Linked DNA regions of Oryctolagus cuniculus. The protein of the gene in region 2 purifies or fractionates together with the protein of the main gene of each other region. This does not show direct contact. Links are inferred from orthologs where the notes say so. Each region holds a gene or a part of one and is shown on either strand. Other genes may lie near its edges. The genes, in order: HADHA and NIPSNAP2.

What was found.
Region 1: the proteins of NIPSNAP2 (region 2) and HADHA purify together in Homo sapiens (affinity purification with mass spectrometry; 3 studies listed by BioGRID and IntAct, with this or other methods). This does not show direct contact. The link is inferred for Oryctolagus cuniculus from reciprocal best matches to the Homo sapiens genes NIPSNAP2 and HADHA.

The regions. Positions count from the first base shown.
Region 1 is NC_091433.1:176,564,175-176,568,731, forward strand, and holds the start of HADHA (trifunctional enzyme subunit alpha, mitochondrial), read left to right. Parts: upstream 1-1,494; 5' UTR 1,495-1,566; coding exon 1,567-1,633; intron 1,634-4,557. UniProt on the Homo sapiens protein: Mitochondrial trifunctional enzyme catalyzes the last three of the four reactions of the mitochondrial beta-oxidation pathway.
Region 2 is NC_091450.1:65,783,811-65,788,372, forward strand, and holds the start of NIPSNAP2 (protein NipSnap homolog 2), read left to right. Parts: upstream 1-1,730; 5' UTR 1,731-1,807; coding exon 1,808-1,899; intron 1,900-1,907; exon of another isoform or gene 1,908-3,981; intron 3,982-4,562. UniProt on the Homo sapiens protein: Protein involved in mitophagy by facilitating recruitment of the autophagy machinery required for clearance of damaged mitochondria.

The DNA.
Region 1 (4,557 bases), on a different chromosome or scaffold from region 2:
CTCATTTCAAATAAAGATTTATTTTATTTGAATAGCAGCATTACAGAGAGTGGGCGGGGGTGGGGGGGAGGAATGAATCTATCTTCCTTCTGGCTCACTCCCTAAATGGCCACTACACCCAGGCTGGGCCATGCCAAAGCCAGCAAAGCCAGGAGCCCCATCAGGGTCTCCCCGTGGGTGCAGGGGCCCAAGCACTTGAGCTACCTCCTGCTGCCTTCCCAGCCCCATTAGCAGGAAGGTGGAGAGCCAGGACTCAAACTCGAGCCCAAATGGGACCTCAGGCGGCACCTGCTGTGCCACAACGCCGGCCGAGGGCTCACGATCTGACTTCATCTTAAGTTCCCTGCCCTTTCCCACCGCAGAAGCCTCCTTTCGGCGGGGTTCAGCTTCATATCCGAATCCTGGCAATCTGAATCCCGGCTCTGCCAAGAACCAAAAAATTTACATTCTCTCTCCGCGCCTCCCAAACTTCGTTTAGAAAAATGCAAAGGATAACAATGATTTTGGGATCGTGAGAACTAAACAAAATGGTGTCAAGGTGCCCTACAGGAGGCCACTAGTGTCACCTGCTTTTGAGGCCCATTCCCTTTAGAACACGATTCCAAGTCTCCTTTCCAGCAACAAAATAGCTGTCCCGCGATGCAGAGCTCTCGGGAAGAAGTTAAGACTGGGGCCCTGGTCTCACTTCTACCACCTGTGGCCAGAGAGTCACTCTGATCCGCTGGATTCAGTTCCTTCACCGATAAAGTGAGGGAGAGAATGACCAGAGGATCGCCGGGCCCCTCCTGGGTTAGAAAACCCCCGGAGCAACGGATCACCACGCAGGACCAAGGGCTGAGTCAGTTCCTTCCACCCTCATCCCAGCCCTTCCCCGAAATCGGGTGAAGCTGGCGAGCAAGGCACGCACCCCAACACGGCCCGGGCTTGAGGTCCCCACACACGCAAACAGCTCGTCGACTTGCGGTGGTAAATGAAGACGCGGGTGACAGGCTCAGAGCCAACCCAGACCCCTGCCCGATCTGCAGCTGGTGCCGTCTTCCTCCCTCCTCCTCCGAGCTCCCTTCAGCTCGCTCGACCGCGACTCTCCCGGGGGCGAGAGGCGGGCGCGGGCCGGGAGCTCGCCTGCGGGAAACGCTCTAAGCATAGCCGAGCACACGCCGCCGCTCACCTCAGTCGGTGTCGACGCGGATTCTCGCTCCGGGCAAGGTTCGGATCCAAGTACCAAGACTGTGCAGGACCCCGGGGCGGGTCCTGCCTAGAAAGGCCCCCTCGTCCCCGCCCGCGGGTCCGGCAGGCCTCACAGGCTGCCCGCTGCCCGCCTGACTGGAAAAACTCGACCCTCCGCCCCCTCCTCCCTGGGCCCCTGTTCTCCCGCGGAGAAAGCGTTCTTCCGACCCCGTTACCCGGGAACGAAGCGTAGGGTTACGGGGCCGGCGGCAGCCCGGCCTCTGATTTTTAGTCAGGCAGTTCTTCGGCCGCCTTGGCGTCCCTGCCACGGGAAGAAAAGTCCTCTGCCGCTCCGCCCCGGCTAGAAGCGCTTTCCACTTTTCGTCCTCTTAGCTCAAGATGGTGGCCTCCCGGGCAATTGGCAGCCTGAGCCGCTTCTCTGGCCTCAGGATCCTCCGCTCCCGAGGTGAGCCCTCTTTGAGGGTGCCCCCGAACGCAGGGTGGAATTCCGGGGTCTGGGGCGGCCCCGTGCCGCGGCTGCCTGGTGTTCCTTCGGGCCCGCAGTCGCCGGGGGCCCAGCCTTCGTCGGGGGGGATACTGCCCTGGGACCCCGTTTGCTGTGTCCTTGCGGAGGGGCTGTCTCTCCTGCCTCCCGTGTCGGTCCTGCGGGCTTGTCAGGCTCTGCAGCCCCTGGGTTTCTGAGTCCTCTTCACCCGGCCCGGCGCCTTTTCCGCAGGGCTCGCGGGCTGCACTTGCGGGCTCACGCCCCTCTTGCTTGCGTTGGTGTTGGTCTTAGACCAGGTGCGACTAGACTGGGAGCTCCAGGAGCACCCGGACCCAGGCTGTGGCGTCTTTGTGCCCCCACGGGCAACTTGCTTCCTGCTTGGATGTCTTTAATACCAGCCTAGGAGATCGCGGCCGCTCCCCTAATCTTTACATCACAGCCATTTTTTAAAAAAAATTATTTCTACGTTTCAGTAGGGAGCATAACTCTTGCAGTTCTAGTACTTACAGTGTTGATAGAGAGTATGTTGAATTTGAGGCTCTGAACTTACTGGAAGGGACATTTTTAAGGTATGCAAATAGCTAGAGTTCTTAAGGAATAAAATGTTAAGTCGTGTAAAGAACTGGCTCTAGTCTTGTTTGTGACTGTTCCCGGCTAGCCTATATTAACAATATTGTCCTTTTCTCCTCGGGCTGGTATTAAAACGATTAAAGTGGGTGGTTGTCTAAAACCTAGCCTTTTCCTTCCACCCCAAGTCTGTAAGGTCAGGCGTAACTTTTTATTGCGTGTTGTATGTTATGTCAGTTACTCAATTAGACATTTTTACTTTTAGCTTAATTTGTAATATGAATTCCTTTCCTTACTCCTGAACCAAGGGGGAGCATGCTTTTATTATTATTATTTTCTTAAAGACAGGTAGCTGGAGTCTTCCCTTGCTGAAAGGGATTCGTCGAATGCGTGAATCTTGTTCTACTCATGTTTTTAGTCTCCGCAGGACTGTCATGTGTTATTCCAATCGTAGCATAAACCTATTGCAGAAAACTGAAACGCACTGAAGATCAGGGAGGGGTTGAGAACGTGGGATCTTCCAGCGTCTGTGCCTGCCTTAGCCTTAGGCTGTGTTTCCTTGCAGGTTTCCTACCCCGTTTTCCACATTCATGCTTCATGCTTTTGGAGGGGGGGTCGTGTCATTGACTGTGCCCCTGCGTTGGCTGTAAGGTGTTTCTATGGACTGGCAGCTTGTGAAATGCTGAAATGATAGGTCATGTGGGGTCTAGTCACTAAGAAGCCGTGTGACTTTGGACACGCACCCTGATGTAGACGGGATCTGTGCCCGTTTGCAGAATGAATAATTGAGACTAAATGTCTCTGGCATGAGAAGTAGCGTGACATAGCAATCAATGGCATTCGACTGGGAGTCTGACTTCTGGTTTTGAATCTAGTTCTGCCTTTCACCCTCTGGTGACCTTGGGCAGTTCATCTGTCTGTGTTGTCATCTTAAAATGGAGAATAGTGCCACCTCCTGAACTCTACCTGAGTTATTCTAATTCTGAAGCAATTTTCCATAGAATAAGTACTCAGTAAATATAAGCTATTATTAACTCCCGCCTCAGAGAACCATGATTATGTATATATGAGAGATTTTTGGAGCACATTTTTCCATTTTGAACGTGTAATAAAAAGCTATCAGCTTAATTTTTCTGTTTTCTGTATAAACACATATGCATGCACATAAATGGTGTTTTCCCCAGTTAAAAAATGTAGCTTGTTATTGGTAAGGCCTCTCTTAATAGCAATTAAAAATGTCTTGAAAATGAATTTAAAATTACCTGCACACCTGGATTCACATTTCGACACAACGGATTCATACTTTACCTTGTAGGTCTGTGTCATGACATTGCCCAACATTTAATAGATGTATGACATTTATTGGTGGGTGATTAAATTATCTGAAAATTGACTTGTGATTCTTGAAATTTTAAAGCGTTCCCACTGTACAAGTGTACTGTTCTAAATAAGACTATTGTGACTATCAAATGAAAATTTCGTCTTGACCAAGATACCTTATCGGATTCCCATCCCTACCCTAAAGCCAAACTCCTAATTATGTTAAGTGGTAAAATAGTTTCACAGGAAATGAATTAGAGGCAAATACCTTAGATACTTTAGTCGATGGTATCTCATTTTTAAATTTGGCTTTCACTAACTTAATCCCATCCCTTCTTGAATTTTGAGAAAAGCTGTTGATTGTGAATGACCAAAGTGACATTTTCAAATTTGAAATTGGTGTCAGCATAACCCAGCTCTGCACTGCCTGTAGTCTTAGGAGATCTTAGAGGATTTTTTTTTTTTTTTTTTTTTTTTTTTTTAGTTACATCACAGCAATGATTAAAAAGTAGGCCAAAGGTTTCTTTCTCCTTGGCTGGCCCAGTAGATGTAGGCCAGAGTTCACACAGCTGCTGTGGAGTCAGCTTTGCTGTTTGGTTGAAGGTTAAGTATAGATGGCCAAAGCCAAGCTTCCGTGTTATCTAATTGTGGTTTGGAGTTCTTTTCTGAACATGTTTGTGTATTTACTGAGTCTCTCCTCTCTCCCCTCCTCTTGTTTCTATTGATTTAGAAGAAGTTATATGTGGGGGTGTGTGCAGCAAGGGTATGTTAGGGGGAAAGAGTTAAAATGGCTTAAACTGTAGGCTGATGAGCACCAACCTGTTGTCTCAAATATGTGATCCTTACCTTGCAGCTCATGAGCATTCTGGTTTCTCTTCATGCTTAGGCGTTTATCTGTGCTTTCTTTTTTAAAGAGTCACAGAGAGAGGGGAGATACACAGAGAAAGCTTCTGTCTGCTAGTTCACTCCCCAGATGTCTGCAGTAGTCAGGGGTGGGC
Region 2 (4,562 bases):
TAGACTGAGTGTGCAGGGAAGGTGAGCGATTGGAGTGACGGGGTTCCAGGGTAGGTGAGCCGAGAGGGTCTAGGTCCGCTGCAGGTGGGGCTGTGTGGTACCCATTAGCCTGGAAGGATCCAGGAGAGCGCCAGGGTGGCTTTCCCAAGTGTGCCCCCAGCCGATGACAGGACACTTGCACCACAGCTCTGGGACAGAGTCCAGGCCATCTACAATATTTCAAAACCTCACATGCATGCTGTAATGTATCATTTTTATTTATTCTTTTCCTGAAAATCTCAATGTAAAAACAGTGCACCAGGAAGCCCTGTGTTTACTCGGTGGCTTTGAGTAGTACCCTAAGCCTAAGCCACACACCTGTGGAATGAATACTCCTCCCCCATCCCAACTGCCAACAGAAAGCAATGGATTCGTGGAACTCCAGAGCCAAACGACAGTGGAGAAGGAAAATTCAGAATAAATGGCCTGATGGTAACACAAAAGCAAGACCAGCAAAGAAATGTCTAGCCACCAAAGTTACCTTTCAGGGGAATGGACTTGAAAGCATTCGAGACAAGCTCATGAGACAGAGCTTGGGAAGTTAGGGCAACGTGTGAGATACTCTCCAAGCACTCGTCCACACTTGAGCCGTGATTCGCAGGCCTGGGACAAGTCCTTTCCATCCCAGGCTGCGCTCACTTCTTCTGCCCGCCTCTTGGGTCTCAACAGCCTCACTAAACCTAGGTCCACAGCCTCTGTCTCACTTTCTCACTGGCATCCTAGGGACAGGTGCTTCTCCCCAGGCTGGGGCAAGTCCTTGCTGTAGCTTCCTCTGTAGCATCCATCCGTGTGCTCCCCGGTGGTGCCTTGTCCCAGTCAAAAGACTCTAGAGCTGGGCCTCTGAGATGACCAGCCTCACAGAAGCCGCGAGCTCGGGAGCCTTTTGCTGCCATCTCCGTTCCCCCATGCAGAGACCTCCCAGCAGCCCAGCCCTGAGACCCTTTCCCTCGCCCCTGCAACCCCTCAGTGGCGTGGCCGCCTCCATATACCCCCCTTGGCGGCGGGGACCCGCGCTCCTCCCAAGTCTCCTCTGTAGGCCTTGCTAGGCTGTCCCCACCTTGTCTCACGGCTTTCGCTTTGAAAATGGTTCCCTCTACAGCGCCTCAGGGCTTCAGTGGTTCCTTCCCCCAAGGATCGCCCTGCCCTCCGTCCCACCGGTCCAGCCTTTGGGACCCAGCTGGCAGGCCAGTTCTTGGGAAACAGCGTCCACTTCGCCCAACCTGCACTGGTGACCTGTCCCCCCGGGTGCTGCCTGTTCTCCCCGCCCCCGACCGTGACAGGTTGAGGTCGGCGCCCTCTGGGTGCTGAAACGAACTGTCCCGGGGCCACGGCAGAATTTGGGTGCATGTCCACCCAGAATGCTTCTGTTACAATATAACCTTTAGTAGCAAGGTGGTTAATAAAAAAAAAAAAAAAAAAAAAAAACGAGCTTCGAGGACACGCCCCTCCGCCACTTCTTGGATCCCCTTCGCAACAGCGGTGCTGTTTTTCCGTGCTCTTTCCACTCGTTTGCAAGCCATGCCCAGTCCTGGACGCCGAGGGCCTTGTCTCGCAACTTTTCTCCTGCTTCGCGCTCCGAGCGCCGGGGACTCAGCCGCCGCGGCCGCACCCAGCTCCCCCTGGCGGCCGCGCCCCGCGCTGCAGTGGCCGCGCGCCCCGCCCCGCCCCGGCCCGGTCGGGCCCGGCCGGGGGAGGGGTCCCGGCGGCGGTGGCGGCGGCGGCGTCAGCGGCGGCGCCCGGGCGGTGGGAGCCGAGGCGCCGGAGCAAGATGGCGGCTCGAGTGCTGCGCGCCCGCGGAGCGGCCTCGGCCACAGGCCTCCTGCAGCAGGCGGCCCCGCGTAGCCTCCTACCCAGGCTCCGGTGAGCTGCGCCGCCCTTTCCGGGAGCGGCCGGGGAGGGGCCGCCACGGGGCAGAGGGCACGGGGTCCTCGGCGCGGTGTCCGCCCCGGTCCGGCCGCGCAGGGCTGCCCGGGGGCAGAGGGGCAGTGGGAGCAGAGGTCGCGGGAGGCGGGGCCCGGACACACTGGAGCCTCGGCGGGGTCGGGGCGCCTTTACCCTGCCCACCGGGCTCAAGGTCACGGCGGGGACGGGCCGGGGCGCGCGGCTCCGCCCTCGCCGCGGGGAAGGCGCCCGCTGCGCGCCACGCCGGCCCGGCCTGTGGGACTTTGACCGGGGGCCGGAGGCAGAGCACGCGCCCGAGGCCGCGGGGCCTGGACGCGCCGTGCCCGGCTTCCCGCCCAGAGCCCGGGTGTCTGCGAAGGGCGTGCTGACGCCGGCCGCTCCCTGGTCCCCCGGGAGCCCTCGGTGACGTGGTGGGGGGACTGGGTGAGAAAGTATTACAGTGACCAGCGCGAAGTGTTGAGGCCTTTCGTTTTTTCCTCCCTAACCTCATTGGATTAACTGTTTGGTCATCTGAATCTGTCACTGACATTTCCACCTTAAGTAACCAGAGCCCATCCTAACGCACCTGTAGATTTTGCTTTTTTTTTTTCCTTAACAGGGTTAGTTTGGAAGTTAAGAGATGGGACCTCTGAGAAGGTGAAGCGTACCAATGGGGAAAGGTGTTTTTGAACCCTGGTCTAGCCATCTTGGGGCCCAGCGCCCGTGCCTGCAGGGATGTCCAATTTATCCAGGTTGTCCAGGTTATGAAGGGACTTCTGGAGAGTTCTTAGAGAATTTAACATTATCTCTTTCAAAATTTACTTACTTATTTTAAAAGAGAGAGAAAGATCTTCCATCCACTGGTTCACTCCTGAGATGGCTCCTCCAATCAGGCCTGGACCAGGCCAAGGCCAGGAGCTTCATTTGGGTCTCGCATGTGAGTGGCAGGGGCCCGGGTATTTGGGCCACTTTCCACCACTTGTCCCAGGCCATTGGCAGAGAGCTGGATGGGAAGTGGAGCAGCTTCGGGACACAGACTGGCACCCAAGTGGGATGCTGGCGGGGCACGCAGTGGCTTTATCCACTACGCCACAACACAGGCTCTAGCACTATCTTTAAATTCCATTTTCCACAAACTTTTGGAAACCCTGCCCCACCCCACCCCCATACTTAAATTTGTATTCAGGTTTATTAACGAATCAACTTTCTTTTATTTTTTATAGTTATTTGTCATCTGTGTTTTTTTTTTTCCCCACACAGCAATATGAGCCTACCAAATTTGTATTTTGTTCCTTCCCAAAGAGATGGCAAACACTGAAAATATTTACTCAGCGTGTTTGCCCAAGTTACCCAAGGTCACAAAGTTAGTAAACGAGCTTTGGACTAGGTCTGCCTAGTATCCCCACTTCTCACTGGGGCCAAACGCTGTTGACACCGGAGTCCTCATCTCTGTCTCACTTGCTGGGTCCTTCTGCACTCTGTCTACTTCCCTTCCTGGCCTCCAGTCTGACTTAGGGGTAGCCATTGTCTAACTCACTAATTCTGCCAAATACCGCATGTGCAGAACGCACTGGGAGCCCTGCAAAACTGGGCATACCAGCCAGGGTGTCTGTCCTCGGGGACCCAGGAAAGGAGGTGGGGAACAGGACCAGAAAATTTCACATCTTGTGGGAGACCCTGAGAGCCGTGGATGGCCTTTGAAAGCATGAACTGCAGCACCACATTGTCCGATCCGCGTGTTTAAAAGATCTGTTTGGCTCTGGGGAGGGAACAGAATCAAGGGTAATCGCCAAGTTAGCAAATGCTAGTTCTGTTTACTAAGAGTTGTTCGTTCCTTAAATATGAGCGCCTGTTGCACTGTTGGCTGTTAGGAAATGTCAGTAAATAAGATAAGCTAGCAAGGCCACCCAGCAGCTAGCTAGCTAGTTCAGGGAGGAGAGAGGCAGGAGGGACTCAGATCAGCTTAGAACCTGGGAAAGCGTTGAGATAGCCAGGCCTGCTATTCAAGTGGAAGTAGGCAGTTGGCCACTTGACTCTTTGAAGGAGATGTCTGGACTGCAGGTAACATTTGAGAGTGGACAGTGTATAGGAATGCTGAATTGTTGGTTGATGAGTTTCATTAAGACTGTTTGGTAATCGGTTGAAGGAGTGGATGAGATTGCTTAAAGAGCGTGTGGACAGAGGAGGGGCTGAGAAAGAAGCCTTGGGATATGCCAGTGTTTACAGGCTGGGTACGGGAGCGGGAGCCAGCAAGGGAGACTGGGAAGAGCAGGCTGCAAGGTCATTGTTCTGTGTGTTTCAAGGAGAGAGGGGTCAGCCGCGCCAGGTGCTGCTGAAAGGCTGAGGTGACAGCGTGACAGGAGGAAACTGCCCTTGCTGACAGGGTGTTGTGGGTGACCTTGCCAGGGCAGTGCTTTCTGGAAAGGAGGAGGAAGTCTTCCTGGGCGGCTCAGCCCTGCCCGCACATTTGCCAGCTTATCTCCCTTAGCTCTGCTCAGCACCAGGCCCAGAGTTCCCAGCTGCCTACTGGACACTTGTCCCACAGGCACTCAAAATGCATATGTAACTAAGAGAATACCTGGAAGGCTGTGTATTGAGGATGGATGCTTGTTCACAGCCATTGTCTCTTCCATTGAGGAACA